Linked DNA regions of Lepisosteus oculatus. The protein of the gene in region 2 binds, or shares a complex with, the protein of the main gene of each other region. Links are inferred from orthologs where the notes say so. Each region holds a gene or a part of one and is shown on either strand. Other genes may lie near its edges.

Region 1 (7,414 bases), on a different chromosome or scaffold from region 2:
GGAAACTAGAATAAAAGTATTTCTTTACTGAACACATCTGTATCACACATTTGAAATTCTATACACTGTGTGATCTATTTAATTAAAAACACTTACAGGCTTTTTTCTCCTCTGTCTCTGCGCCTTCAAAGTTCTTTTTAAATTTTCCACTTGTGTTTCCTCATTGTCAACGATTTCCTGAGTTAGAATATAAAAAGAATCTTTAAAAAGAATGTTGATAAGTTTCAATCTTCCTGAAAATAAAGCCCAAACCACAGAGAATTTTGTCAAAAAGACAAATTATTTAAGGTTGGTATCATGCAGTGCACACATTAAATCCTGGGGAAATCATCAATCAATGTGTTATATTTTTTTAAGACAGTTCATACGAATAGCTTTCAGATGTCCATCAGAAGTTTTGACAGACTTGTGGATTTCTTTACACTATTTTACAGTTTTCCCTAAAATCAAAACAGATGATTAATTGCCATGAACAATAGGTAACCCTGTACTTGCTCAGGTAAAACCATAGAGAACAAGCTCACACTTGCATTGAAGAAACAAGGGGATCATTCATATTAATGCTTTTTTTTTTACTTTGAAATTACCTATTAGACTAAAGTCAAATGAATTCAGTTAATACTAAGATACCGTAGTGCTGTTTAGCGTTGTTATTTTATCCGGAAGAGACAAGCAAAAAAAGTATAAGATAGTTTAAAGGACAGGTACAATCCATGTGCCTTATGAAATCTATAGAGACAGCATACCAAACTGAAAGGCTGAACAGACACCAACCTCTACAGTAGCCTGTTCAGTTTCCTTACTGATTTCCATTTCTGTGGTGACCAAAGCCTGGCAAGCAAAACAACACAGCATTTAATGGTGAAAAGGAGCTCTGAGGAGTAGGTTCCTCCCTCCTTTGGCTACAAACCTCATTTCCAGGGCCTGTTGAGTCTTGCACAGAGCTGCCTTGATAAAAGTTATCTGACCTGCTATCAGTCTACTGAGCCAGTCCTGAACACATTTTCGTTTTACTTTTCACCAAAAAGACTGGATTAATATACATTTACAGTTAGATTTCTTTTCTAAATTTATAAGAAGATACATCTTGCATTTGTAGAACAAATGCTAATTTTTGGAAATGATGGGTGGAGTTGAGGGGCTTATTCAATGCCCACAGCAGTAACAGGGAAAATATTATCTTTCACAGTAACTGCTAAGAGAAAAAAATTCAGAAGTGCCATAATGAACATTATTGTTCCTTTATGTGATTCATAAGCTATGGGAAATTAAAAGCAAAACTGTTTAATGTCAGAAAGCATCTGACTCCAGGAATAAATACAGAGACCTCTTGGGGAAGTTTGAAATCAGTGCATCAGTCAGTAAACATGCCTAGTATGAGCCATGTAAGTCCAGTTATCATTCTGCCTTTTTTCAAATTGAACGGCTACCCCCTCTGTATATTTTCATATAATTATCAGTTACAGTACTTCAGTCAATCATCATTTTACCTGTTTATCAATGTCATCTTTAACTCTTGTCAAAGATTCTTGAAGTGCCTTCCGCTTCTTTCTAATTTTCTCACGTAGATCACTGAAAGAGAATTGGGATACCAATTCAGTGATATCAAAATAAAACACTAGCTGCAAACAATAAAGATTCCTTACACTTATATTGCGCTTTTATATAATCAGGACACACCACTCAAAACACTTTGAAGGTAATGGGGACTCCCCTCCACCACCGATGTGTAGCATCCACCTATTTAATATTGTACCCTAACACTGTAGGTAGTCTTTACTAGCTTTCGTATCTTATAACTGATTTTAACACCTTAAGGATGTGCTCTGCTGTAAAAGTAAACCCCCTTTAATATATAACTGTTTGATGCTTTTGGATATATTTGTCCTTAACGTTAATGAGTTTGCATGTTCTCCTAATAATTGAGGGGATTTTCACGAGTTACACTGAATTTGAAGAAGTCCACAGGGTTAACTTATTCATTTAAAATCCTGAAACGCAGAGACAAATCTATCAATACGGCCAGTGGAACTAGATGACATTAAAAGAAACTAAAGGGAAATGATTTTAAAACTTAGAATGGAGGTACTTTTTACACAAAGGATTGTGGATGTCTGGAATACGCTAATACTCTTTCTTCTTTCAAGAATCAGCTGGATGACACATTCAGCTCAATTAGATACTAGAAACAAAGTCAGGTCTATGGACTAAATGGCTTCCATTCTCTTTCAAGCTTTTTTATGTTCTTATAATTATATGGCCCAGTTATTTAAAAAATGTTGACTGCCTCATCAACCAATAATTCCACCTACCTTGAAGAAGCCATGTCCTTATGCACAGCAGTTTGACATCACAAGAAAGGATGCCAATTAAAACTCGACACTTCAGAATTCTCCTTTCTATTGTTGGGTCCCGTCTCAGATTTCTGTAAAAAAAAAAACACTGAAGTCATTTAAGCAACTAATTAATGGTTACTCAAAATCTTTGTCCTGTAATAAAAGGTAGGATTTGTTTCTTATGCCCTAGAGCTATGCAAAAGAAAAATACAACCTCGGGCAAACCTGTTGCATCATAATTACTATCTAATTGGTAGGTGTACTACTTATATAGAAGTGCTATAAACAGACAACAAATAATTTACTTTAGCCGCAGATACAGTACGTACACAATTACACATTGAACAGAATACAGTATAAGCAAAGTTATTTATACAAATAAAAAAAGTAAACTAATATACTGTGCCTTGCATTGTTTAAATGCAATTTATCTATGCACATCTCATAAAACAAGCATGATACCGTTTGTGAAACAGTGAGTGTAACATTTCAAATAAAAGCAATGCAAAGTCACATCTGGCATATCTTTCATTGTTCGATATTCAGACATATACCAGTATATTTTCTTTCGCTGTAAACACCTTATCAACTGCCGCAGGCTGTAACACTAGTTCAGTTTTGCTGCTTAGTAACGACGGAAACTACTTTCCAACCAAACTTGATACCTTGATGTAAAAACAACCCCAGTGCTCCTCTGCACTCACCTCATTCAGCAACTTGCTTGTCAATCAGGGCAGAGGGCGGGCTTGAACGGTCATTAACTATGGTGGCTCGGAAGGGTCTATATTCATTAAATCGATTAGATTTCAAAAGGAGTCCAAAACAAGATTTAAACGTATCTCACAGCAACCTTTCTTTTTTATTTTTGTTACGTGTTTTAGGACTATTTCTCCATTCACCCCAGTTCTATCCGATCTTTCAATTCAGGGTGGAGTTTTTTTTGTGGAGGAAGGGGGTTTAACCGAAACATCCTCGGTGACACTCGCGGGTTTGGAATTAAACCCAGGAATCCAACACTGCGTCACTATGCCACTGTGCCACCCATAACATCTCCTTATTTTAAAATATAACATTCAAAAGAGAAGAAGATGATCGATCCACTTTCCTTTTTTGAATTTATCCAAATTAAGTGACTGATCAAGCTATTTTATTATTTTTAACCCATTGAAATATGTTCTTTATGTACACTTTTTCTCATCTGGCACTCCCATAAACCTGAATTGGATGAAGCATTTAGAAAAGGGATGTATTTTGTCAAACAATCCAAATATATGTTATATTTTTGTATTATACATGCAATTAGGTTATTTTAATCTTTTATATAATAATTCTAAGGTAGTGAGAGGTGGCTTTGAGGGGAAGTCACCTGTTGATGTAAACAAAACTTTAAAAACAAGGCACACCTGGGATTTCATAGGAGGTGAAGCAACTGATAGGATGGGCACAGTGTAGAATTGTAAGAGCAGCTAGGAGGAAAAGGATTTCAGTCTGTGTCTAGGTTTCAATCAAGTGAGAAGTGAGAAATTATGGGGTCTCATAAGTAATGAATTGAGCTGGCTTACAGACCTGCAGTTCTCAGTGAACAAGGGATGCTTGAGAAAATATAGGTTGGACTGTTGTAGGTGTAGGACAGATGGGTGCTGCATAGTAATTAGGAAGAGGATTGACTACACAAAAGATTAATGAATGTGAAGGTGGCAGTGTAATGCTATCCCAAAAAGCCTGAAGATGAGGAAGGTATTGTAACGCTTACGGCCGACAGGCACTGTGTAAGAGCCGGCGTACCAGAGCAGGTGACGTCACCGCCCTTCCCTGTGAGCAGGACTACAGCTACTGGACTGTGGAGAGATCTCTATTAGGCTCACCGGGCTGGGTCCCTGTTGAGTGACATGGGAGTCCTAGGTTCGAGCCCCTGACGGTGTGGGGCTGACCTAATGTAGCAAGGGTGCCCGTCTGAGCCCCTGTTGCGTTACATTGGTGTCAGAGTGGTGTGGGATAGCCCTTCACTGGGGGCAGTGATTTAAGCGGGGGAGGGTGTAATGCTTATGGCCGACAGGCACTGTGTAAGAGCCGGCGTACCAGAGCAGGTGATGTCACCACCCTTCCCTGTGGTAGCAGGACTACAGCTACTGGGCTGTGGAGAGATCTCTCTTTGGCTCCCTGCTGAGTGACGCGGGAGTCACGGGTTCGAGCCCCCGACGGTGGGGGGCCGACCTAATGTGGCAAGGGCACCCGCCTGAGCCCCCGTTGCGTTACAGTATGTTTCTTGCTCAATTGGCACCAAAGGTACTGGAATATTAAGGCATAATAGCTTGTTTGTCAGGCACAATGGGATTGAAGTTGGTTGCTAGGGAACAGAGCTAGCCTGCTTAATTAAAACTGACTGGAGTCTTTGGCACCTGGAGTAGGGCATTGCTTGGCAAGGTAGAAATATGCCATCTCCCTATTCCTGAGAGAGAGTAGTCTAGCTAGCACAGGTTGAGTACCGAGGACTCCCTGGGTTTTCATAAATTGACAGACTGGTGGTCTATGAGAAGAGAGAGAGAGTCTTAAGCAGACTGCTGCTGTGTCAAGGCTGCAAGTGTGGGCTACATGGAGGTTTGTCTGGCCAGGGACAGCTTTATAGGTAGTGATGAGAAGAGTAATTGGTTATAAGTGAAGATCAGGTACTTGGTGAAGATTGAGTGAAGGGTTGGGGTGAAAGTGTTGCACAAAGAATTGAGTGAAAGTGAATTTAGTCAACATTGTATTCAGTCAACATTTAATCTGGATAATCTAGTGCCTGGTTGTTGAAGTGATTTTAGTTAAGACTGAGATTGAGCCTCATGGATACAGTCTAATTGAATATTCTAGTGGCTGATTGTTAGTGAATTAGTGAAGATTAAGAATTGGGAAAACAGATTTAGTCATGTGCCTGGTGATTAGTGAAGATGGAGATTGGATAATCAATGAGAAGATCAAATGACTATTTTAGTCATGCATAGTGCTTGGTGTCAAATGAAGACAAAGGATGAAGAGAGTTCCAAATAGGAAGATCTATAGATGTTGAGTAGAACCAAGTGAAGAGAAACCTGGAAGGAGGAGGAAGACTGTGCGACAGCAAAACATCAAGTAAAAGCTAGGATCACGGAGGCAGTCCAAAAGTTGAAAGATTAAATGATTTTACGTTAAAGTGCAAAACACAAAGGTGACATCCTTCTTGGGGAGAGTGATGTGTGTGCCAGTGGTTGTCACAAAGAACTTTCAGGATCTAATTACATTTAATCTTAAAAATATAAGAGAATAATGGACAACTTCGGGGTTCACAAACATTTTCTCTTCATCAAATAATGATCATACCATTAACATCTGCCACACTTATTACTTCATCTACCATGATTTAAATATGTCACAAATAGCTAAAGCTTCTTGTGATTTTCACCTCACAAGTATTGACATAATTATCCCACCCCCATTGGGCCATCAACTGCTACTTGCCATGTGGCCTCTTACTCAATGTCAATCCTGGGCAAAAATTGCTTGACCATGTTGTTCTAAACATGGTAAGGACAACTCTAATGACAATAGTTAACATATGGCAATGTGCGGTTCTTGCAGAAAGTTAAATGACAAAACGAATGCCATTTTATTAAAAAATGCAGTCTGTCACTGTCTTAGGCACTGCCCCACCAATTCTCTCGACACTTGGCAGTTTCCATGATATGCATACTGCACTTCAGAATTGCCCCTCAAAGGTTGTAGTAATACCCTATATACTTACGGTACAACATGTCATCTCTTGTTTGGTGAATCACATTTCATAATGCAAGTCGATCCTGTGAAAAATAGGACAATTAACTTCAAACATGAAAGCTATCATTGTAGATTCTATACAATTAATAAATATAGAGAAACAGGCTTCCTACATAAATCAGAATGGCCACCATATAGTTCTCTTGTTCATACACTTCTAGTATTGCAAACTGCTGGGTAAAAAATATTTGGTAAAGTATTTCCAAACTTGGTATGGATATGGTGCTTTGGACACCACTGTGAGCTTGGTGGTTAGCACTACTCCCTCAAACTGATTCCTTTCCAACTTGGGGGACCTGTGTGTATGGTGTCTGCTTGTTCTTTCTGATCGTATATGGGTTTTTGCCATATGCATTGATTTCCTCTGATCTCATAGAAGAGAAATCTACTTAAGTTTGACTGCATAAGTATCAGCCGTAATTAATACAAACAGAACATGTGAAGAGATTTATTTTTTCCGAAGGCTTTTGTTAAAACTCCATATGAAAGTTTCATTCTCAACATCCAAGCAGTATGCATTCAAGGTAAAGCATGTTTTTTAAAACAGAAATAAATACAGTACTTTAGCACAAAGTGCTGTCAGGCATATTTAAACACAGTTTGTTTGTATGTTTATCAGACTTATTTAAACAAAGCGCCCATGTTGGAATTGCTTTTTAAAAATTGACCACATGCCACATGAAAAGCCACATGAATAGGAAGCACATTATATAGTCCAAGTAACACAACTAAATAGAACCTTGGATATGAATCAAAACAAGGTGGCACAGTTTTACAAAAACTCCACCTTATCCTAGCCAAAAACAAGTACCAGCAGGTACTAATCCATCATGCTATTCCACCAGAAGCACATTTCATTAGGCGTGGATGCATCTTCCAACATCACACTGACTCCAAGCGAACAGCGTAGTGAAAAAGTACTTAGATCATAAAATATGCCACTCACCACTTGTCTGAAAATGGTTGAAAAGGCCTTGGTCTGAACAAGTCCTGATATGAACATCATCATTGGGTACTGGGATTATATGAATACCACATAAGTTAAAACAGCAACCAGACAGCCTGAATAATTTGTGGAACATGCTACAGGATATCATATCAAATCAAGGAATTGTGTTCTTTCTAAAACAAAGGACTCATATCAATGTATAATATAATGTATTCTTTATTTTACACATTTTGTTGTTTATATATTGCTGTATAATGTATTATGTAAGTACTGTAAACAGATATGCTCTGCTTCAGCCCAGTTTGCAAGAAAAAAATCCAGAATTCACTATAGTATA
Region 2 (7,477 bases):
CTGGAGGGGATGCCAGTCCACGGCTGGGCACAGAGACACAAACAGACACACACTCACACCAGGACCAATTTCCTCAGAAGCCAATTAACCCACCAGAATGTCTTTGGACTGTGGGAGGAAACCTGCATTGCTGCGCCACCCTAGTAAAATTCCATCACTTTAAAATTTAAAACACCACTACAGCTTCCCAGATCTTAAAAGGAACAAGTGATAGGTTTATTCCCTGTCGAAAAGAGAAGAGAGAAAACACAACGTCTTGGCTGTGAAGCCTTCTTCAGCTTTATTTTTTACGGAAGGTACCTGGAGACTTGTATGTACTGTATAGAAATACTTGAGCATTGTCCTGGCCTACACTAACTGTGGCGGAGATTAAACACACAGAGCCACTGCAGCACGTTTACCTGGTAGCCAGAGGCGGCCTGCAGGTCTGCCCTGTCGGGGGCGGTATCGGTCCCACCTCCATCTGCGGGGCTGAAGAAGAACCCACCGAACTGCCTGAACAGACTGTCAAAATTCCCATCTGTGGGAATCTCCGGAGAAGCAAATGACAAGCCATCCTTATCTAAAGAAAAACCAAAGCTCTTTTGCAGTTTCTCTTTTGACTCATCACATATACCGTATGAGTAACATTCAGGCATGCGAAAGGCTACTTTTTTTTTTTCCTTTCCATTATTCCTGCAGTCATGGAGGATGATAAAGGGTCCTTTTTACATGTTGCTAGAACCGAAACTTCACCTACAGTTGGCAGTCTGGATGCAGAAGACACCTGGGTTGATCTCTTGCGCTACAGTGGATTCTACCTGCGCTAGGCCATCTTCTGTGTTAATGGTGTAGAGAGCAGCTTGCTGGCTGCAGAGCCGGGAGTCAGCACTGAAACACACAAGACCGAGTGTCACGCCATCACTCACACTGCTCCCACAGTGGCACATCCAGGCTGGCACTTCGACTGAAAATGAACTGCAAAATGTTGTAGGAACCGGTTATGCAGAAATAACGTTGTGTGGGTCCATGTTAACAGGACTGTAGATAACTACTTCATGGCAAAGAGAAAGCAAAGGCGATATCTAAGTAACACTTACAAACTGGCTTTCATCCATACAGTTTATCATTGCTAAAACGCTACTTTTTGCAGCTTCTATTTATTATTGTAGTGTTAATAGATATAATCATACATAGTACTCCTCAGACTGATGTCTTATAAATACATTGTGTTAATATATGCACTTTGGATATAATGACACACTCTGCATTATACACACACGTTACCTGCAAATAACTTACACAGTATACTACTACGTAGTGTGATCTAACAAATACAAGGAAACATAAATTAAATACAATTACTATAAATACAGTTAGTCAAAAACAGGTATCAGAATTGTCATAAATTAGGGGGAAACAGAACATCAACTAAGAGAATAGAGCTGAATAAAGAGGCCAGGAAAGGGTGCTTATGTTCTAAACTATAGGACAAGCAGCATTTTGTAAGATTTTGAAAGAGCAAGATAGATCATAGGATAACTGGTAAGTTCTAAGGAGGGACTGGAAGTAGGACACCGATCCATCCGTTTTCCAACCTCCTTATCCTATACAGGGTTGCAGGGAGACCGGAGCATATATCTGCCAGCACCAGGCTCAAGGGAAGATACACCCTAGACAGGACACCGGTCCATCTCTGGGCTCACACAGACACCACACACACCAGAGGCAATTTCCCCAGAAACCAGCATGTGAAGGACGTACAAACTCCACGCTGTTAGCACTGCGCCACCTAGCCGCGAAGTGGGAGAGGCACAGGACAGCTCACGGTTCCCCAGTCTGGAAAAGCCCCAGTGCCAATGCAGGACGTTGCCATGCGATGACTTACATCAGTCTGTCGACGGTGCAGGTGGTGAAGAGAGCGAAATCGCCCTCGCAGTCCCTGTCGCAGCAGCAGTTGACGTCACACTGACTCGACAGCAGATCGCAGGGACACACGTTCGCGACTGAGGAGAGAGGATCAGAGTGACTGTTAGCAACCGCTGACGACCCTCCAAAATAATGCTCATGGATGGGTGGTGGGTGAATGCCTAGTTGTTTCGACCCAGAACAAAATCTGATTTCAGGATCGGAGTGCGGGCTGCCCTGTACTCGCACGGCAGCCCTAATAATAATAACAACAATAAAAATAATAAGTCCCTCAGATATCTCCAACCTGTCACTGAACTGCTCATTGCCTGCTGTGTAATCATACCGTTAGTAATAGGCGGAGGAAGGGAACCCGAGAGCGGCAGAGGCCGAGAAGAGGGCGCCTCGGCTCTCGGAGACACGTCGCTCCGGGCTGTCGCCTCGGGTTGAGGGGCTGTGTTCGTCTCAGGGGTGCTGAGAGGAGAGGGGAAACCGCTTGCACTGGTCGGCTGTGCGGCCCCCGTCTCGGCTGACTCAGCTGTCGGCGGTTCGGGAGCAGCTCCGGCCGTCTGGGAGACAGAAGCTGCCGCAAAGTTCTCCGCCGTAGTGTTGAAGTCGTTCGTGTCTGCTGGGGGGAACGGCTCGTCTGCCGTTGTCGCTCCGGTGTCTCCACTCTGCGCCAGAGACGTGGTAAACGTTTGCAAACGAGTGATAGAGGCGAAGTTAAAGAAAATCAAAAACCTTAGCGACACCGCCATGGCTCTTAGTAACCGTAAACAGACGGTTGAGCCTTCGAATCCAGGAACTGAATTTGGGAAGGGCATCCCGGGTAAAATAAATAAAATAATTCATGTGATCGTATTATTATTTTGCTGATGTAAGATGGGAGTAAAAGAAAACGAATTCGTGTTTTCTGGCCGTTAAAATAATAGTGTTACGAAAGCTCCATTCAAGGTTATAAGTACGAAAGGTTTTACGCATGCTGTCGCCATCTTGGCTCTTGGAAAGGGGTCAATTAAGGACAGAGTGTAATCATTCGGAGTCAGTTTGAGCCACAATGGCGACAGTTTCAGCGACCTCTCCGTGCAACCTTGGGATCTTCTTAAATTTCAGAATGTCAGTGTAACGTGATGGTAGTACCTCATTGTTATGATTTGTACTGGCAACGTCATAAATACACTGTATATTTGTCCTTATCATCTGGGTACCGTCTAATATGCAAGCCTCTTAAGGTAAATTCTGCTGGATCGTAATATTTATTTGCTCATTTAAATGTTTCAGTAAAATATCTGTGCAAAGTTTACTTTTACAAATAAAGCTAATATTTAAGATTGAACTGTAATGCACAGAAGTGTACTTAAGTTCCTGATTGAAACAACAATAAGGTAGTGTCCAATTGCATGGTTGGGGAATAATATAAGACTTTATACAACGAATAAAATCCTGTAAAAATAATTTCCCAGGAAACTAAAATAAATTAAATTAATTTAAACCAAACCAAATTAAATAATAAACGATAGCATTATCTCTGAAATGCCTTATGCTCTTGCAGACGGAGCTACAACGCGTGATTTAAGCAATACGATTAATGTTTCATTTCTTCGTAACAGTGAGCCGTGCAGTCGTTTGGTGGGAGGAAAGGCGATTAAATGGCATGAATTAAAATGTAAAGACAAAAGTCTGTAAAAATGACCGCGATGATACGGGGAGAGCAGATCCTTTCAAAACGACAGTTTTCCCCCCCGTTAACGTAGTTTGAAGAAAGTCGCGATTGATGGCCTTTTAAGGAAAACCCCCTATTGCGTAACAACGAATGACGTCAAGGAGTCACAAGACTGCCCCCCGAACTCTGTGGAGCTCGCGCTCGCCGGAACCCGGGCGTTTGTACAATCTTGAGCAGGGAAAGATGGCGGAGAGGATGGAGCACCTGAGAGCCACCGGCTTCGCGAAATACCACGCCAAAACCTGAAGACGCTTCCCAGCCGTACTCTTCGTCCTGGGCCTTTCAGAAAACAAAAAAAGACGTTAAAAAGGCGCCTCCTCTGGGACTGTGGGGCTGACCTTTTTCCCTGTTCGTTAGTGTGGGTAACCGCATGTTGTTTTGTTGAGAGACTAGTGAGTGAGGCAGAGTGAGGAGAGAGTAGGTAGGAGGTAAGGTGGACTCTTGCTATTTTTGGGGGGATGTTGTCCGTTCTCTCCTATGGCAGACTGGTTGCCAGGGCTGTCCTGGGCGGACTTTCCCAAACAGATAGCCGGGATTACAGCCTGGTGACGGCAAGCTGCGGTTTCGGGAAAGACTTTCGGAAGGGGATTTTGAAGAAGGGGATGTGTTACGGCGATGACGCCTGTTTCATTGCTCGGCATAGATCCGCTGATGTATTGGGTAAGTCCGGCGATTTTTCTTGATTTCAGCGCCAGGGCGAAGCGTTTAAAGCTGATCTCCAACGGACCTACTACCCCCCATCCCGAAATAATAATAATAATAATAATAATAATAATAAAAAAAACGATCAAGCATCGGAGCCCTTTCACCTTGGAGGTTTGTTGAGCTGCAGTACTGTAAAACGAGTCCACGCAGGTTAAGGAAAACACCGTAAATCGCGCTTCTTAATTTTTAAATACCCTTTCTGGAATGTCACTTGAACTGCATGACCTGGTCTCATGTCAACATGTGGCACCGGGCTGGTGTGTGGTACTTGATCGGTACCGGCAGCGTCTTGAGACGATTTTCCCCGAAGTCGTGCAATAATACTCCTTCACGCAGCTCTGACACTGTTTCTATTTGCACCTGTCGGCGCACATCACCATTGAAGATTTTAATGCCGGCATTATCCCGCATTTGTACTGCAGAGCTAATTAAGTGGCAGGATGTGTTTAAGAGCCTCTGCATCTGCACGGTGCTTCTACGTTTTTGCAATGCATGGAATTTGAACCTATTGTCATTTTACCGTGCTTAAACACTTACTAATGTTAAGGACTACTTCAGTGTTTTTGGTGCGGCTAAGAAAAGCTTGAATTTGTTGCAAGCGAGTGATCGTGACCTTTTACCTCGATCGCCGAGATGTAGACTGAGGCTTTGTATCTCCACCACTAGTGGCGATGATGTGCACTCCCAAGGTGTTTTAAAAAACCCTCCATTGTGTAGCTTTTACAGCATGAGGAGAAAGGTTCCGATTACAATTAACGCTTGCGGGTTTCATCTGGGTGTATTTGCGAGACAGATGTGGATCGTTATTTCATCTTCCGCGTACGGCTGCTGCACCAGGAAGCATTTTGTGTGCTGAGCGTAGTGTCTCGGCGTAGGCATGTTAGAAGCCTTAACGAGGTCTTAGATCCCTCATCAATCCTCGCTCACCCTGGCGTTGTTACTCTTTTTTTGGGGGGGTAAACGCAGTCTTAGTTTCCGGACAGCCGGTGTCCGCTCTGCAGAGGTCAGGGTGGTTAAGCATGGAGGCGGCCATGTTGGGTCACGTTCTGTACGCGCCCCGCGAGCGCCGTCCTTGTCCTTCTCCGGCGCGAGCCAGGTGCACTTGAGAGGGAGCGGCGCGCGCCGCCAGCTGTTTCAGTTCCCAGTGTCACCCCGGGGCGCCCGTCCTAACGTGAAAACCCACGACTGGGGCGTGTTCTCTGCCAAGCCGGGGCTGGCAAACACTGGGGCTGGCCAGGAGGTACGACCTTTGGCAGCAAAGTGATCTTGCCCACCTTTTGAACTAGGACAGACGTCAACAGTTTGGATATACGTGTCAGAGCGGACTATGACCTTGAAAAACATGTTTTCCCTCGAAGGGCAAATCCGTGGTAGTTAGTAGGGGGTTTTGAGGAAAATTTAGTTATTCCCATATCTTAACTGAGAATGTCAAGGGGGTATGCATCGAAGGACGCGTGTTTATTTTATTTCGTGTTTCACTCAGGTCGCGCACCTTTGTACAGAAACGAAAGATGTCTGCCACCGGTTTCTGGGAAACCTGATGCAGCCTCTATTCAGAAAACAGCTTTTAAAAAGAATGGGATTATCTAGGAATAGAAGAAATTGCAACATATTCTCAATCTTCAAGGGCTCAAATTCTGATGTGCACGTTCGTTTCAGCAGGCTCAGCTCTGATCATCCTATAGAGGAATCTGTATCCGAGTCCTGTCTTATCTCTGCATAGACGACAGAGCGCCTGATCCACCTGCAGCAGCAGCCTGAAGTCATGCGAGAGCTGTATTTGCTTGTTGGGTCCTTGTAATTTTATTAGCAAATTGAACAGATCTATATATCAGGAAGCAAGTCGGCTCTAAACATCTTTACTTTTACTGTCCCCAATGGGGAAATTTGTTTTGCAGGCAAAAGACATAAGACGAAACAAAATACGTTAAACACAACATGAACCCAATAACAAAAACATATTTTGATTTTCCCCGTACAGAATGTTAAATTGCACTAAAAGTGACCTGGCGGCAAGTTCAGCTTTCTCTGCAAGGGTTCTGGAGTGTTGCTTGATGTATAAGGAGGGTCATGTTTTTGGTTTGTCTACTTTGGGCCTTTGTTGTGTGAATTGGCTGGTGTTTGCACAGCCAGTAGTGGACTACCATCGATTATCTGTGTTTTTGTTTCATGTGGGATTAAATGTTGAACTCTGCGTAACTGTTTTTCTTGGAAAGCTTGTCAGACTTTGAAGGATTGCTGAGTACAGTCTCATGTCACAAGAGCCTTGCATATTTAAGGTATCAAAAATAGGTGACATCTGAAGTTTTAATATCGGCTTTCAGGCCTTCATATGTTTTAAGTCCATATGTGCTTTTGTATTGAATAATGTTTCGCACGAAAGAACAAAAAGACTACCTTTGTCTCTTACACTGCCTCCTACTATTCTAATAGCACATGATGCACTAAATCTTACCCATTTCCATGTGAACAGACCGATTCCCTGAATTTTCTTATTCTGCTGAATGAGTCATACTAATCCTCAGGGAGGATTTGTATTTGTGTGCTCAAATCAATTCTCAGAGAAGAGAGTGCAAACAGCTTGCAAATCGGATGTCTGCACAGCCCGATTACTGCAACTGCAGTTAGAGGAAAGTAACTGCTTTATAATGCAAAATCAACATTTATCTCCTGTTCATGCCAGTATTGCTTCTCTGAACCACTTAGGCTCACATTGTTTTTTTTCGTCTCTCTCTAGCCTGCAGTTTCATGTTTCAGATGAGATTGCCAGTGCCTTGGTACAACATTTTTACATCGGTTATTTTTAAGACAACTTGTATAAGAGAATTTGCAGAAATTCTCAACATTAGAGTTGGTGGGGCATTGTATACTGGCAAAGCAGCACCACTAACTTTGTTGATGTGTCTCCACACACACACACACACACTTTGCCAGAACTTCTCAGGAACCTGCAGGCTTGTAGTGATGTCGATGAGGGATGTGTCTCCTTTCAGATTGGTGCTGAATGTCCTGCATCTTACTGCAGTTCTTGGGAGGAGAACATATTAATGAAGCCATTTCATAGATGGGGATTATTAGGTTGGTCAGTTTGGCTACACATTTACTCTTTTCGAAAAACGCCCTGGGATTTTTTTATGGCCACATAGAGTCATGACCTTGGTT
Region 3 (7,540 bases), on a different chromosome or scaffold from region 2:
ACCAGGGGGCTCGGTCTTCCCTCTGAGCGAGTCCCAAAAACAGACCAAAAGCGCTCCCCCCCCGTTAGTGCATCGGTCTGCCTGTGCCGTCAGTCGCTCAGTCACTGACCTGCAGAAGGCGAATATCCACCAGTACAGGCCGCAGTCCCACTGCTCGAAGAGGAAGAAGACGAGCGCGACTCCGGCGCTGGCGTGGGCCGCAGTGGCTGGAGGGCAGTGGCTGAGTCAGGGAGTGGTAACCCCAGGCGCTCGCGGGGTGCCCTTATGGCCACGAGAACCCGTTCCAGTCAAACCCAGATTCCCCGAGCCTTAAGGAGGATCCCCACTGCTGGTCCTTTGTGACCCCATAGCGTCGGCCAGCTCCAGGTCTCTTAACTGATCTCTTCACTGAACCTACAGCTCACTTAATCAGAGCACTTTCAACTTTATCGGCTCTTAGAAAAACACAGAAATTCAGCTGCGTACCGTACAAAACATGCATCTCTAATTCCAGCCACCCGATTCCTAGCTGCTTCTTCCAGTTCAGGGTTGCGGGACAGCTGGAGACTATCCTGGCAAGCACTGGATGTAAGGCAGGATGCACCCTGGACAGGAAGCCACTCCATCGCAGTGGAGACCCATCTCAGATACACTCATACCAGGACATCTCACATGTCACAGCAAGATGACATCTTTCCCTGTTTGTTCACTGCGCTACTCTCAGGACACCCTGCCTGACACACTGACGGCTAAACCCTGCCTGTGCCTGCTCTCTCTCCGATATTCATCAACCCATCCTCAGCTGGATCGGAGTGTCCAACTGCTTTCAGTATTTCCCTGCCCCTAGGGGAAGTCGGTCCTGTCAACTTCAGGGCTGTCCATCACAGCTCCACATGCTTCCCAACTAAAATTCAACAGGTGGGAGACCAGACTCTGCACTGGGAACAGCATATCAGCCTCGGGCAGCTCTGTGAAGGGACCAGGGAGGTCCGGGCCACAGTCCTGGGCAGCGTGTGAAGGATACAGAGGAGGCCCTGGCTGCTGTTGAACATGGACACGCCGGAGAAGAAGCCGGCCAGCTCGATGGCAAACATGCCGAGGGTCACGGAGAGGGCCACGACGAGCCTGCGACACGGAAAGAGAAGCAACCGCCCACAAAACGTCAGAAGGCTTGTAGTGGGAGAGAACCCCGAAACTGACACTTAACACACAGTTCTTCCCATGCATTGGTAAATATTTACACACAGGCAGCACCAACACTTTCACAGAAACACACATACAATACAGAGTGGTACAGTACCCACTCACTAACCAAAATATTAGGAACCAAGCAGTGAAATCACTACACTTCCTCTGTGTGCAGAACAAAGGGTGCAGGTATCAGACACCATCCATCCATCACCTTTCTTGGCCAGAACAACCTCTCAGATCTCCATCCTGCTGTGAAACCAGTGATACAGGTCAATCCCAGACACCACTGTCCCTCCACAGACACTCGAGTGAAAGGGATGGGACTGGGCTGCCGCCATTTCGCAATGGGGGTCCCTAATATTGTGGCAGACAACCGATCTTAAACATGATGTCGAAATTCCGTTGGACTTACTGTGTATCCTGGCTGTTGTACTCTTCCTGTGTGTACTCTAAAGGCAGGCAGGCCAGGACGTTATTCTCCTGAGAGGAAAACACACCGACACACTAGTTAGGGAGAAGGCCAAACATCAGGGGTGCATTCACCAGGCACAGCACTCAGTCCCACATCGCTATCAATCTTCAGGGACAGCAACATTTATGATTCCCAATTTATTCCCACTTACATATCTGTACCCATGTGTACAGCGGGTCACCTGGGATTTGAACCCACAACTTTCCTGTTACGAGAGCTTAGCCCTGACTACACTGCCATGCAGCACAGGGCAGTGGTAAGAGACCTATTGGAAGGACTAACTGAAGCTGAAAGCCAGTAGAGATCTTAGAAAACTATTAAGAATTTTGCAAGACTGTTTACTTATTAAGACGTATGGGTAAGCCTGACAATTGGTTCTGCTGGAAGTGCGGGCTCGTACCCGGGACCAAAATATTGTGATGACAATGACGAGGTGCGCAGTGAGGGTGAGGAACCGGGCCGGAACCAGGCTGCTCACAGCAGACATCTCTACTTTTGGGGCCGGGCCGGGCCAGGCCAGGTCGGCAGGGCCGAGGTCAGAGGTCAGAGGCACCGAGGCTCGCCGGGACCTGCAGAGGAAGAACAGAAGGACAGGGCAGAGCTGAAACTGGACTCTTTTCCTTCACCCGGGGGCGTCTGACAGATCCGGCCCCATCTTTCCACACGAGGGCTCAAACACTAGGAAAGATTCACCGGACACCCTACTACTACTGCTGCTGCTACTGAGAAGTGGAGCGAACAAGAACAGATTAAGAAAACTACATTTCATATCACTTAGATTAACAATTAGGATAATATATGTGACTATTCGTGACTAGAAGCTCAAAATGTTAAAATGACGCAAGTTACTACGCTCGTACTCCACTAACGAAGTCCCTCCTCACTTCTTTATTAAACCCGGTTGAACATGAACGTTTTTCTTAATGTTTCGTCAAACACCGAGTATTTTAGGAATGAGGAAAAACTGATTTTTTTTTGCACAACAATAGATAACATTATCTAGTGGAATTATTACCGACACCGCTGGACTTGTATTACATACTTCAAAACACCCAGGACGGCACACGGTGCCCGTCTTTTGTGTTAATTTAAGAGTTAACACATTTTAAAACAATTTGTTCGTTTCTTACCGTTACGGTGGAGCTATGATTTATTTTCAAACCGACAAATACAATCCAGCGCCCTCCGCAAATATGATACCAATGAAACAAAAATACAAAAACAACACACTTTTGGAGTTAAAAGGAAAATGAGATGAAAGCACAAATTATGCTTAAAAATCTGAAATTAGGCTTCATAGTTTACAACAGCTCACTAAACAATCGACACTCACGCCGCCCGCTGTCGTTGCTACAGCAACTGAACAGATCTCCGCGCACTCTCGCGAGAAGCCTCGCGTTCTGCGAGGTGACGTTTACAGGGTGACGAAGGAAATCGCGGAAGTGACACGAAATAGCAAATAAAAAATTGGAGACTTAAGTGGAGATTTAAAAACAGAGCGGGCGTGTGTTTCCAGACTGTAGCAAACAAGGACAGTTTTCTTTTGCCACATGTTTGTTAAAACTTTTGATTAGATCAGAACTAGCTCCATCACCATCAACTCCATCACTTGTCCTTTTGTGAAGCACATATAAATGTGTATGTATCCAACCGTGTTTAACCCATGATATACAAAAAGTGTATAAAACACACCATGATATTGCTCTATATACTGTATTGCTCTGCTAACAGACACTGATAGCCGAACCACTAGGAACGCCTTAATTACCACGATATGTAAATTACTTACGCAAGGATTTCTGGGGGAAACGAACCGCTCACGATTTACTGAAATAAAACTTGTTTAATACGGCTGTTGAATCCTTTTTGCCTCGAGAGCTTGGGAACTACTTCCTACTCTCATCGACATTATCTGCTGCTTGTACGGTCGAATATTGAAGTTTAAAATGGGCCAGTTGTCGTTTCTTACCATGACCGGTTCGACCCGAAACATTAAGGACTAACTCCGCGTTAGCAGTTAAACGGTATCGTCAGTGAGGTAGTTCCTTACCTGTTACTCCAGCAATGGAGTTTCAGAACATGATGAATGGAGAGAGATGAGATGATGATTAATATCTCACAATTGATGAGGAATGCAACACCCTCGTTAATTCCATTCTGATTTTCACTGACGATCAAAACAACTTCGTTAAATATAAGAAAATAACTAGTGATCCAGATGATGTGTACTAAAGCTTCGTTGATCTTACTTATTCTGGGTAATTATGTTTCACAAATAAATCTCCTAATTACACTGAAGTCGTTGTTGAAGGAAAAATTTAATTACCTTCTGTCTGTCGCTTTTTAATTTTAATGGAGTCATTATACTTCCGTTTTTAGGAAACTCCACAGTCTCTTCTTCTCTTCTGCGGCAGGAAATAAACCGTAACTTAAAAAAAAAATTAAATGTGTAAACAAATTTGTGTTTACAAATACAAATAGAGGAGAGGAAATGGATGAAAGATGAAACAGAAAAAAACTTAACTGCCAGAGATAAGGAGGAAAAGTATTTATGTGACCAAGTAATATTTTATACATACATCAAATAATAATTGTATTTTTTTTCTTTATTATTCCGAAAAAAAAACATCTCAAAAGGAAACATCTCACACATATTAACACTCTACGTAATAAAAACAACGGCGGAACGGCGGTGATTGTCCGTTATCAATCATTGCAAGTGTGGGTGGATTTGCGCGATTATGAGAGTCCCTCCAAACCCTACCACTTGCTGTTGTCCATTAATCCCTGTACAGGGTCCAAAGTCCTTTCCAGCACTCCCTCGCCGTGGGGAAACCCCATTTGGCAATGTCGCGCTTCATCCTCCTCCTGAGGCCCGCCAGGATCCTCTCCTCCAGCTCCCTCGCTCCCCACTCGATGTTGCGCCGGATGAGAGTGCTCCTCGCGTCCCACAGGCCTTTTTTGTGAGGGACAGCAGCAGCCACATCAGGAACGGCGTCCCCTTGTCTGATCCGGTAGGTGCCAGCCCAAACAAGGAAGGTGTGGAAACACACATCCTCTAAGTTTCTGTGCAACATTCACAGAGATTTAGCCTGGAGTGTCGTCCACCAGTGCTTACCGGTACGAACTTTCTTGTACCGTAGGGGCCTCACCCCCAGCCCTCGCTGCGTTAGGGTGGGCTGCGGCGAGGAGGAGACTGTGACCCATCTCCTGTGGTCCTGCTTTTTTGCTAAGGCCTTCTGGGCACAGTTTGAAGATTGGTTGCAAGCTCTCTCGCCCCAATTTACCCTGACCGCTGCGTCATATACGGCATCTCTCCTGTCAAACTTCCTCCTGACGTGTTTGACAGGATCTGGGCCGTGGTGAACAGTGGGAAAGACGCCCTGTGGAGAGTGAGGAACATGGGGCTGTTCAAAGGCATCGAGGTCCCAGTCAAGGCAGCAGGTAGCCTGGCCCTGTTCATCACCCGAGAGAACTATTACCTCAGAGATCTGTGGAGAGAAGGGAGGGAGGAAGCAGAAAGTCTGTGGGAAATAGAGAGCATAGGTCAATATCTCAAGAAACTGTGAAAAACATTATCATGTTTAAGTAAAGAATGTGATTTGCACCACAAAAAAAGAAATTGTTGCTATGTAACTGGTACCGTGTCAAAATGTAATGAGATGTGATCATATATACTGTTTTAAGTATGTATATTAATGTAAAGCTTTCTAATTTGTGATGTCCTGTATTTTTTTGTGAAAAGAAAATAAAGTTCTTAAAAATCAAATCAGGTGCCAGCCCCAGCAGAATGTACTGGTAACTGAGCACCACACCCGTTCCCAGGAGTTGCATAATGTTGTCCATTCTGCCCCACACCGCCTTGGCAAAGGGGCAGCTCCAGAACACGTGCTCCTGAGTCTCCTCGACGAAACACGTGTCCCGGGGGCAATGCGGATTCCTGGAGATCGAGTGTCTGTAGAGGACCTCTCTGGTAGCCAGTCTCTTGTGTACGGCCATCCAGTTGAGGTCCTTCAGTTCGTTGTCCAGTTCTTTCGGCTGCGTTCTTTCCCAGACTTGTCTGGGAACCTGCAGCCTTTCGTCTGCGACCAGATGCCCCCTCACCTCCTTGTACAGGGCTCTGGTGCAGAGCTCTGGCTGTCTCGTGGCCTCGTACCTCCTGCTCCACTTGACAGTGTGGGTGTAGAACTCCGGTCGCCTCTCTGCCTTGGGCCCGGTGTTTGACCACTGGACCAAGTGCCTCATCGGGACGGAGAGCCACAGCCTGACAAAGTACTGGTACTTGTGGCCGATGGGCTCCCGCAGCGCCCGACAGAGGTTGCAGAAGAAGATGCAGTCGAGTTTCAGGGGGAAATGTGGGACATCTCGACCCCCTTCCTCGACCGGCTGACACATCCGGTTCCTCATGATGTACTCGTACCTGCCGCCCCAGATGAAGCCGAAGATCATCCCTTGCAGCGCTCGTCTGAGTCTGGCCGGCAGCGGGTACACCCCCGCCAGGTAAACCACAGACCCAGCTTCGCGTTCACCTTGGCGATCCTCTCGGTCCAGTTGTTGGTCTTGTTGTCCTGGCTCTGGAAGGAAACCCCCAGTATTTTGAGGGGCTCCGTGCAGAGCTCGAGACCCTCCGGCACCGTCGTCCTGTGCTTCCAGGGCCCGAAGAACTTCGGTTTGCTCTTTCGGCGGTTGAGCTTCGACCCCGAGGCTCTGGAGTATTGCTCCATGACCCGCAGTGATAATTGCATATACCTATATAGCGCCTTTCTGGATACTCCACTCAAAGCGCTTTACAGGCGATGGGGATCCCCTCCACCACCACCAATGTGCAGCCCCACCTGGATGATGCACCAGTGCTCTCCCCACACACCAGCTCTCAGTGGGGAGAACAGAGTGATGAAGCCAGTTCAGAGAGGGGGATTATTAGGAGGCCATGATTGGTAAGGGCCAATGGGAATTTGGCCAAGACGCCGGGGTAACACCCCTATTCTTTTCGAGAAACACCCTGGGATTTTTAATGACCACAGAGAGTCAGGACGTCGGTTTTACGTCTCATCCGAAGGACGGCGCCTGTTTACATTATACTTGAAATGTTTTAAGTTTTTTATAGAATTCATATTTCAACTCCACCTCAAAAGTACTTAAAAGGGGAGTATTATTGGACCATTTTGGTTTATAAATATGAAATCTACCCAGAATGATTCATTTATTATAAATAGATGCTCTTTATTCCGGAATAAACCTCGACTTGTTCCTTTGCAGCCTGCGCTCGCGGACGCAGCTCCCTGCCCCCGAGATGTTTCGTGCGTCTGCCTCCTGGCGCGCGCGGTGCCATCCTCCTGGGCGGGAAGAGCCGAGCGCACGCGCGGCGACGCGACGGCCGCAGGAGCCTCTCGAGGCGAGGGAACAGGCTGCCGGAATATGATTTACAGCCTCGGCCCGGGAAGAACAGGCGGAAGGTGCGTGTTTTACCGAACCAGCGTGGAGTTAATCGGAAAAAGCTCATGAAACGACCGCGTTTGAAAGCGTGAGATGAGGGTTTTTAGAGCGGGAACAGTTGTGTTGTGGCCTGTGAGGTGTTGCTGGATCTGGCCGCATTGAAAATATACTGTACGAGCCAGTGCGTCGTTACTTTTCAGTTACCTGCCATTGTCTCCAGTGGAAATAGAATCGAGTCAAAATCTAGCAGACAGATCGTCAAACCTTTATTAGAGGGTCTATAACTCACCAGGCGCAATGAATGCTCTGACCTCACAGCTCCTGGGACACTTCTTCAAGGCAATGTTTTCTCTGGGATTCTGGTGTTGTGTTTCAACAACAGATTCTTAAATTCTCTATAAATTTCGCCTTGTGCTTCTGCCACGATCTTCGCCAGGAATAAGCCGTTTCCTGCTGAATGGA
Region 4 (7,651 bases), on a different chromosome or scaffold from region 2:
GGTTTTTAGCAACATACACTTTGAAAGGTAGCTGTGTGGTCTTTATTCCTGCTTCTGCTTGTAGAACAGTTGTATTGGTAAGCCAAATAACTATTCTAAAAAATATGTATAAAATCAGACCTTTTCAGAAAATCCAATTTGCATTTTAATATCATATATAACCATAACTTCCAGAAGGATACGAAAGTGTAGAAGTGTACTGTGTGCCCTTGAATTATTGGTACTTGAGAAAGGCCTTGCAGATCTAAAGCAACCTGACATCTGAAGGATAGGCTCTTTGCATTCTCCTTGTAATAAAAAAAATAAAAGTGAGGAAAATGCAACAACAGCCTTGGGAAACTTCTGCATTCAATGAATTCAACAAGTATTTTACTTCATCTGCACATTCATTTTACTGTTGGTTCTCTGGTTGGGCATAACCTACTGTTTTTGAAAAGCTCACTTAAAACTGGCTGTCAGGACATTTTTCAAGAGAAGCAAATAAGGGCCAGATACCATGAACACAGAATTTAAAACCGAGTGTGGTAAGGCAGAGCTCAATGGTATTTTCATAAAATGCTTAATCTGTGTTGTGGCGGTGTTACCTTGTGAACTTCTGTAGTCTTGAAGTAGATTCTGGAACAAACATTGGAATAGTTCTCTTGTGTCTGAGAGAAGAACACAGATTAATAAGATTTTTGTTTTTGCACACTGTTCACAGGTTCATTATTAGTTTTCTGCTGCAAGGTGTACTGTACAGCATGCTGCACTGCACACAGTGCAACTCAAGGGGGCAATGGATAGCAGTACCGAGGAGAAGAGCAGGAGACTTACTGGCCAGGGGTTATGGGAACATGAACAGCGCCATATCCTCGCACCACGTCATTGCCGAACGCGTCCAGTCCGTACACACTGACCACGATCTGGGGCCCTGCGCAAGAGAGCAGACACCTGCACCTTAGCCCAGTGAAAGCCAGTCTCTCTTTTGTGACAGCCTGGCCACAGCGATGATAGAAATGGAAGTGGTGCTGACAAAAATACAGTTCTTGTCACAAGCAAACGAAGCCCAGCAATTGTTCCTAGTCATTCTTAACTGCTACACAAAATTACGCAGAGCCAGATCTTCCTTTGCCATTGACATGCATTCTTCAACAGCACTGCAATGGAGGTGAAAAACACCCATCTACAAGTATATTTTGTCATATATAGCCAAATATACAATTTGTGCAGTACTGTGTCTAAAAGAACCTTTAGTTCTGTTTCTAAAAGAAAGTAGTATAGTTTTTCAGTAGTGGGTAATCGGTGTCAGTGGGTGTGTCACTCACATCCGAAGGGATTGGTGCTCTTGAAGGTGATATCCAGGGGGAAGTTCCACACACAGCGCTGCTGGGAGTCTCTGCTCTTGGAGGCGATCTGGGAGATCCCCTCCTCCAGGCCCTGCCAGGACAGCGACAGGCATGATCGGAACAGCCTACGCTGGAAGTGAGGGGCCCGCTGGACGCAGCCATACCTATCTGGACGGCCATTCCCCTTCCAGCGAGCTACTGAGAAACATCCAGTAAGGAACTGCATCAGCTGCATGGGAACAGGTAAAGATTTATTCCAGGCTGAAAGGAAAAGAAATGCAGTGGTTTGGACAGCCACTGCCTCCACACGCCTGAAGAAGGCTTCAAAGCCGAAACCTCACATCTCTTCTCTTTTCCTTTCAGCATGGAACAAACCCTTACCTGTTCCTACCGAGAAAGACGTTATAGTCCCTCAACCTCATCTCCAGTGGTCAACTGTATAGATAATTCCAACAAAGAGGTATTTAAGCTCCCGAAGTCCATATTTGTGTCAATTTATGTGTGAATAACAATAAATGACTCCTCTTGGTGTAGCCCTTCAACAAAACACACATCACCTCATGCAAAATGGATCTCCCAGCCTTTGCCCAAGAGGCACAACAACATTTTGTAGTGTTGGCAAGAGTTTCTCTCTGGCTAAACACAGAGTTTGGCTTTTCAGTGGGATTAAAAGCTACCAACTCTCTTCACCATCTTAGGTACTGTGTGATAATACGATTTCAGAATTATTCTTAAACCGAATGAAGGTAATGCTTAAATTAATATTAAACTTTTGTTAAAGTCATATAACTGCTAAACAACTGTTAGAAAACAGGACTAGTTTATGCCATTAGAAAAAAAAGGCTGGCTAAATATTTCATATTTATTACGGTAAACGATTTAGTTGTTTCCGATATAACTTTGTCTTTCACATTACTGAAGTAATACATCGTCCTAATTGCAAGGATCTTATAAAGCAAGGCAACATCAAAAAATGAGCTGATCACAAGCCTGGACTCTGGACCACGGAGATCTGGGAACTGTGAAAACCAGGGCAATATATTAACAACACGAACGTGAAGTTTAAATTGAGGGAATAAAAGCAGTAGAATTTTAAAGCAGAAACAGTACGTTATCAATATAGCAAGCACCCTCAAGCTTAAGTGTCTCACCGAGGTAGGAGCCCAGTCGTGTCCGTATACAAAGCAATATTTGCAGTACAGGTCGTCATATTCTGGAAACTAAGAGACAGTAAAATGGAGATTTAACGAAAGAAAAACAATTTTTACCACTTGGAACAGCGCTCCGTTCAACACACATTGAGCCTCTGAAGATACTACACATGTTTTTAAAAGTTAGCAGAGAGACGGGTTGTATTATTTTACAGAACATGATGTGAAACGGACACTGATGTGGCCACAGGAAAGCGTATCCAGTCTCGTCTGGATCTACAGTAAGTAAAAACAGGAGGCTCTGTGCGTCTAGAAAGGCGGATACTCACGCTGGCTCCCTCTATCTGACCGTTTATCATGAGCAGAAAAACAGATGGATTGGCTGACATTCTGCCCTGTCTCCACACGTTTCGAAATAATAATAATCTGAAAAATATGTTCTATCTCATTGCTATTGTTATTTATTCCTATTTGCTCTCCTGTTAGTGTCACCAACGCCTCTGGATACCAAGGACGCCTCCTGTATGGCACAGCGTGAGGACCAAACAGTGCAAGGTAAAAAAGCGATTGAAAAAACATCGCCCTCTCCTCCTTTTCAATGCCCAGCCCCGTTAGGTTTATGCTTTTACCAACAGTAAAACATAACCTTGAAAGCCAAGACAAATACTACACCACATTAGCACACAGGGTACTGTGTTATGTCACGAAGTTATCATCTAAAAGGTTTCTCGTCTTATCATCTCTGTATACACACCTGAAGAGCTCATTATCGCCTTCTCCTCTAGATGGTACTCATGCAATGTACAATCACTCTGTTCAAGTTTTTTTCTTCAGCCATCGGAAATTGAGGTGAAATGAATGAACCAAATGGCTACAATGCAATCAGTTAGCTGCTGATTGGAGTGCGCGATGAAAGGACGGTTTTCTCTCAGTATTGGTGCTCAGCAGTAGGGCTGTAAAACGGCCGTGATAATAAAAAAAATGTTTTTTACGTTGCTGCTTACATTAACGCAATCTTTATTAGCTTCTGAGAAATAAAACATTTGGCTAAATGAGGCATCTACGCCTATATTATAACAAGAAGTTTTCTTTTTCTTTCAGTTTGGCAAAAAGGTTGGAAAAAGTCGTAAATTTGAATCCTTCTTTCCTGTTTACCAGCATAATAGCGAGTCTAAAATTAAATCTGACCTCATGCGAAGGATGGTGAACATTTCACATGTGGTTAAAACATTTTCGTTTAGTATTGCATTTAAGACCGTTTTAATCCATGCTATCAGTAGAAGGCTACAGTGACTGCAGAGTGAGACGAACTGGGTTCTTCTCCGCAGGTGCTGACGCGCCTTGAGGTGGGACTCGCGTCTTGCCCGGGGCGGCCCCGAGTTCAGCCACGGCGACTGCGGTTACAGTTAGTGGCGGCGCCGGAGATATCATGAGTCAGAGCGCCGTGTTAACGCGTGTCGGGTCCCTGAGTGTTTGTGCTCGGTACGTAGGGATTAGTGTCACACACTGCCTGTCATGTTAGTTCTGCCGTCTGCACAGTTTGGGTACAGCAACACGGCGTGACAGAGGCAGGCGGGAGGGCCGTGATACAAAGCGCTCCAGGAGATAGTAGGAAGGTAGCAATGACACTGACAGAGAGAGTGGGAGGGGGCAGGGACTGTAACGAAGTTTTATTTCAGGCTGTTTACGGTTCTTTACGTCTTTCTTTTCTTTCTTGTGTATCTTAAAGGTCAGGACGCAAAAAAAAAAAAACCCAAACTCCAGCGTGCGTGAAGATGGGGTTTCTGCCAGGCTCATGTTAGGGCCAGGCTCAGGCGAGTTACGAGCAATGTTTTGCCCAGATAATTCGCTCTCTACCCCTGCCGGAAAGGAAGTGCAATACAGAATGTGTACCTGAGTGCCGGCCCCTTGGTGTCTAATTACTGCAGTATTCTCCAGATGGAGGAGGGAGGATTTGGGTCTGTCGTGATTTCTCTTAATTAGCAGGAGGAGGATATGATCAACAAAGCTACTGTTTTGCGAGTCTGCCACGGTTGCACCCTTAAAAAAAAAGCCCTGAGATGAAACGTGGACACGTCTGCCCTTTATAAAACAAGCTGAATCACATAAATGCAATTTGCTGCACCAAAGCAATAGTATTTATAGTTTCATAATTGTGCTGTTGGATGCTTAAACAGAACTGGCGAGCTGTGTCCGAGAAATGGATAGATGATGAGGGTGTAGTTCAAGCCATTTTGTTGTTACTTTTGAACTCTTGTTTCTTTGTTTTTCCTGGGGGTTGTTTCGCTTAGCATAGATCATGCAACGTGTTCCTTCAGGCTCTGTAAATTAACCGTGTTCCTGTGACCTACAGAAACCACCCCCAGGCTGAGTATACCATGCTTTAGCAGCTGCTTAGAAGACCTCTAAAAAAGACTACCTCCCCTCCCCTCAGACACTCCCCTTTTCTTATGGTAGTAACGGTGAAACAGAACATCCTGCCTGACTAGATAACTATCCTGGGTGGCAATGGTTAAATAGTAGCACCATGGCGCCCCCTGGTGATCAGTCCTAATGCTTTGCAGCTACAGTGCTGCATGCGCTCTGCTGGGTGTCATTGCTATCTCTGCACTCACTGATACAGTGACCTTTTCTGTACGGAGAGCTAAGCATCACACAGCCCACTGCCCAGTCACGACAGCTGCCTATGTATCTTATACTCTTCCTACCAAAGCTATCTCAAGTAGGTTCGGACTGTAAGACAGAGCTATTTCCTTTGCTGAATGTGTGTTTTAGGGTATGAGAAGACTATCTGCACTCTTAAGTCTTTCAGGACACATGGTCTTTCATCATCACCATCCCATAATGTCCTTCAGTCCTCCCAGTCATCACTCCCTCTGTGTTGTTTATTGTCAGTTCCATCCTGAAGCAGGTCAGGAATGTGCTTTAGTACAGGCAGGAAAGACAAAGACCTTCATATAGCCCAGACTGAAATTACAGCAGACAGGGAAGATATCAACAGATGGCAGGCCATTTATAGAGCACTGTTGACGGGTAAGCGTTTGCCAAGATGGAATGGACTTCAAATATTTTGTGAGTGAGCGTTGAATAATGTCAATAACTTGGCTCCACAGATTTGGGTCTCTGTGAGGTAGTGACCTACGAAGGACTGGTGTCCCACCCAGGGTGTATACTGTCTTGTTCCCGATGCTTCCTGGGACAATGTGACCCTGGGCCACTGGGAGCCCGAATCGGATCAGGGGTTTTCGAAAGGGATGTGATGATGATGTGAGGTAGTGATACGTGGCTTTGAGAGAATGCCACCTGTTGATGGGGGGGGGGGAAACTGAGGAAAAAAATGAGGCACATCTGGGGGCAAATTGAATAATTGGCTCAGAGAAGGGGTAGAATTCCATATGAGGGAAATGATCTCATAGGATAGGCTGTGGAGGAATTGGCCATGCATCTGGGCTAATTAAGAGATCTATAAGAACAGTTAAGAGGAAAAAAGTTTCAGTCTGTGTTTAGGCTACAGCCTAAAAGGAATGAGTTTGAGAGCTCCAGAGTGGGAGATCTCATTAACAATGGACTGAGCTGCCTTACAGACCTGTGTAGCTCGGCAAGTGAGGGATGTTTGAGAAAATATAGCTTAGCTTGTACTGCACTGTGTAGTGAGGTAGCAGCATACAGTGCCTTCTTCCCCACAGCTGAGAGTGAGAGGGAAGTATAGATGAGTCCTGTGTACTCCCTATGCATTAACATCAGCAGACAGATGAGCGATGTCAGAACATGAGATTAGAACCAAAAAGTATGTCAGGGATGTTGTTTACAGACAGGTGTCTCTGGCCAAAAAGGATTAGCCACTATCGTTAGCAATAAGTTAATAGTTGTTAGTGAAAACAACAGCAGAGATTAGAGTGGAAGTGATAATTTTAGAGTAGACTGCAACTGGGCAATGTAGAGTTAATAGAGCTGAATTCTGTGTTGCCTGGCTATGGTGAAGTGAATTTAATGAAGACTGTTATTGGGTGACAGAGTCAAATTAAATACTCCGTGCCTGATTGTTAGTGAATAGAGATTAGTGAAGATTAAGAACTGGGTGCCATGAAGTTAAATAAGTTGATCCTTCAGTGCCTGGTGATTAATGAATACAGAGTGATGAACTGATGAGAAAATCTAATTGATGTGATGAGCATGTGCAGTGTTTAGTGCCTAATGAAGACCAAGAGCGAAGAGTTAGTGAGCACATCTAGTGTCTTTGCTTTGAATCAAGTAAAGAGCAACCTGAAAGGAAGAACTTGGCAGACTTCCCTGAAAGGAGAACAAATAAGAGCTTACATCCCAGGTGAACGACTGAGCACATAAAATACAGAAAAACTAAAGTAACATGCTGGTGGTGAAGAGTTCATGGTGATGTGACATGTGCCTGCACAGTTTATTTAAAAAAAATATATAATCAAATATTTAGATTTTAGTAGCCTTATAGAAGATTGAGACACACCTCAGCAACTGCAAACTGTTAGTAAACTAGTAAAGAAAAGAGATTTTATTATAGGGGGTTCAAACTCAGCTCCTGTAAGGTATAAAGTCTTCTTGTTTCCCGAGCTTTAGGTTGCATATTTGCTTTAACTATGTAATTGCCTTTTTCCAACCAAGCTTCAAGTTTTCACATAGCTTTAATTTTTTTAAGTTCTTTCGTATCGTCTGACAATAAACATCACTCTGCTGAATTTAATGAAGTGAATGCTTTGAGTAATTGGCTTCAAAAGCCCTTCAGAAAAAATCCCACTCGTCTAATGAAGCAATCAGGTTAATTGATTAATTGACCACTCAACGTGGAACAAAACCCAGATGACACTCGGCCCTCCAGGACTGGAATCTGACATCCCTGATCTAATTTGAATTAGCAGTGATTCAGTACAGAAGTGATAGTGGTAGGCATTTAAGGGTTTTGTTCTTCCTTAAGAGCTCATAAAAAATTGTGCTGCTGATGAGATTGTTGCTGATGTGCCATTGCATGTAAAACGCATCTTTATAACGCATCCATAGCCATCCGTAAGGGAGGGGAAGCAGGCTTGTTTTCATCTGCGAGGGCTGTGACGACAGACAGTGCAGGAGACACTTGGGGGACGCAGCCCTGAGCCCCTTGGCTCTGTTGAGGGAGCAGGAGGTGGGGCTGAGCTTCAGAGAAGTGCC

The links.
Region 1: tectonic-1 (region 2) and cc2d2a share a complex: the UniProt entries of both Homo sapiens proteins name them as parts of the tectonic-like complex. The link is inferred for Lepisosteus oculatus from reciprocal best matches to the Homo sapiens genes TCTN1 and CC2D2A.
Region 3: tectonic-1 (region 2) and transmembrane protein 107 share a complex: the UniProt entries of both Homo sapiens proteins name them as parts of the tectonic-like complex. The link is inferred for Lepisosteus oculatus from reciprocal best matches to the Homo sapiens genes TCTN1 and TMEM107.
Region 4: tectonic-1 (region 2) and b9d1 share a complex: the UniProt entries of both Homo sapiens proteins name them as parts of the tectonic-like complex. The link is inferred for Lepisosteus oculatus from reciprocal best matches to the Homo sapiens genes TCTN1 and B9D1.

What each region holds. Positions count from the first base shown.
Region 1 is NC_090696.1:45,323,467-45,330,880, reverse strand, and holds the start of cc2d2a (coiled-coil and C2 domain-containing protein 2A), read right to left. Parts: upstream 3,009-7,414; 5' UTR 2,918-3,008; exon of another isoform or gene 2,891-2,917; intron 2,426-2,890; 5' UTR 2,327-2,425; coding exon 2,313-2,326; intron 1,573-2,312; coding exon 1,491-1,572; intron 832-1,490; coding exon 775-831; intron 178-774; coding exon 97-177; intron 1-96. UniProt on the Homo sapiens protein: Component of the tectonic-like complex, a complex localized at the transition zone of primary cilia and acting as a barrier that prevents diffusion of transmembrane proteins between the cilia and plasma membranes.
Region 2 is NC_090717.1:10,245,869-10,253,345, reverse strand, and holds the start of tectonic-1, read right to left. Parts: upstream 3,006-7,477; 5' UTR 2,712-3,005; coding exon 2,234-2,711; intron 1,986-2,233; coding exon 1,868-1,985; intron 871-1,867; coding exon 740-870; intron 563-739; coding exon 402-562; intron 1-401. Other genes in the region: pptc7a (protein phosphatase PTC7 homolog), read left to right, coding at 4,069-4,270. UniProt on the Homo sapiens protein: Component of the tectonic-like complex, a complex localized at the transition zone of primary cilia and acting as a barrier that prevents diffusion of transmembrane proteins between the cilia and plasma membranes.
Region 3 is NC_090698.1:9,297,553-9,305,092, reverse strand, and holds the start of transmembrane protein 107, read right to left. Parts: upstream 3,015-7,540; 5' UTR 2,773-3,014; intron 2,212-2,772; 5' UTR 2,130-2,211; coding exon 2,043-2,129; intron 1,651-2,042; coding exon 1,583-1,650; intron 1,105-1,582; coding exon 1,004-1,104; intron 207-1,003; coding exon 110-206; intron 1-109. UniProt on the Homo sapiens protein: Plays a role in cilia formation and embryonic patterning. Requires for normal Sonic hedgehog (Shh) signaling in the neural tube and acts in combination with GLI2 and GLI3 to pattern ventral and intermediate neuronal cell types.
Region 4 is NC_090714.1:12,532,692-12,540,342, forward strand, and holds the start of b9d1 (B9 domain-containing protein 1), read right to left. Parts: upstream 3,018-7,651; 5' UTR 2,866-3,017; coding exon 2,806-2,865; intron 2,546-2,805; coding exon 2,477-2,545; intron 1,417-2,476; coding exon 1,305-1,416; intron 911-1,304; coding exon 814-910; intron 648-813; coding exon 585-647; intron 1-584. UniProt on the Homo sapiens protein: Component of the tectonic-like complex, a complex localized at the transition zone of primary cilia and acting as a barrier that prevents diffusion of transmembrane proteins between the cilia and plasma membranes.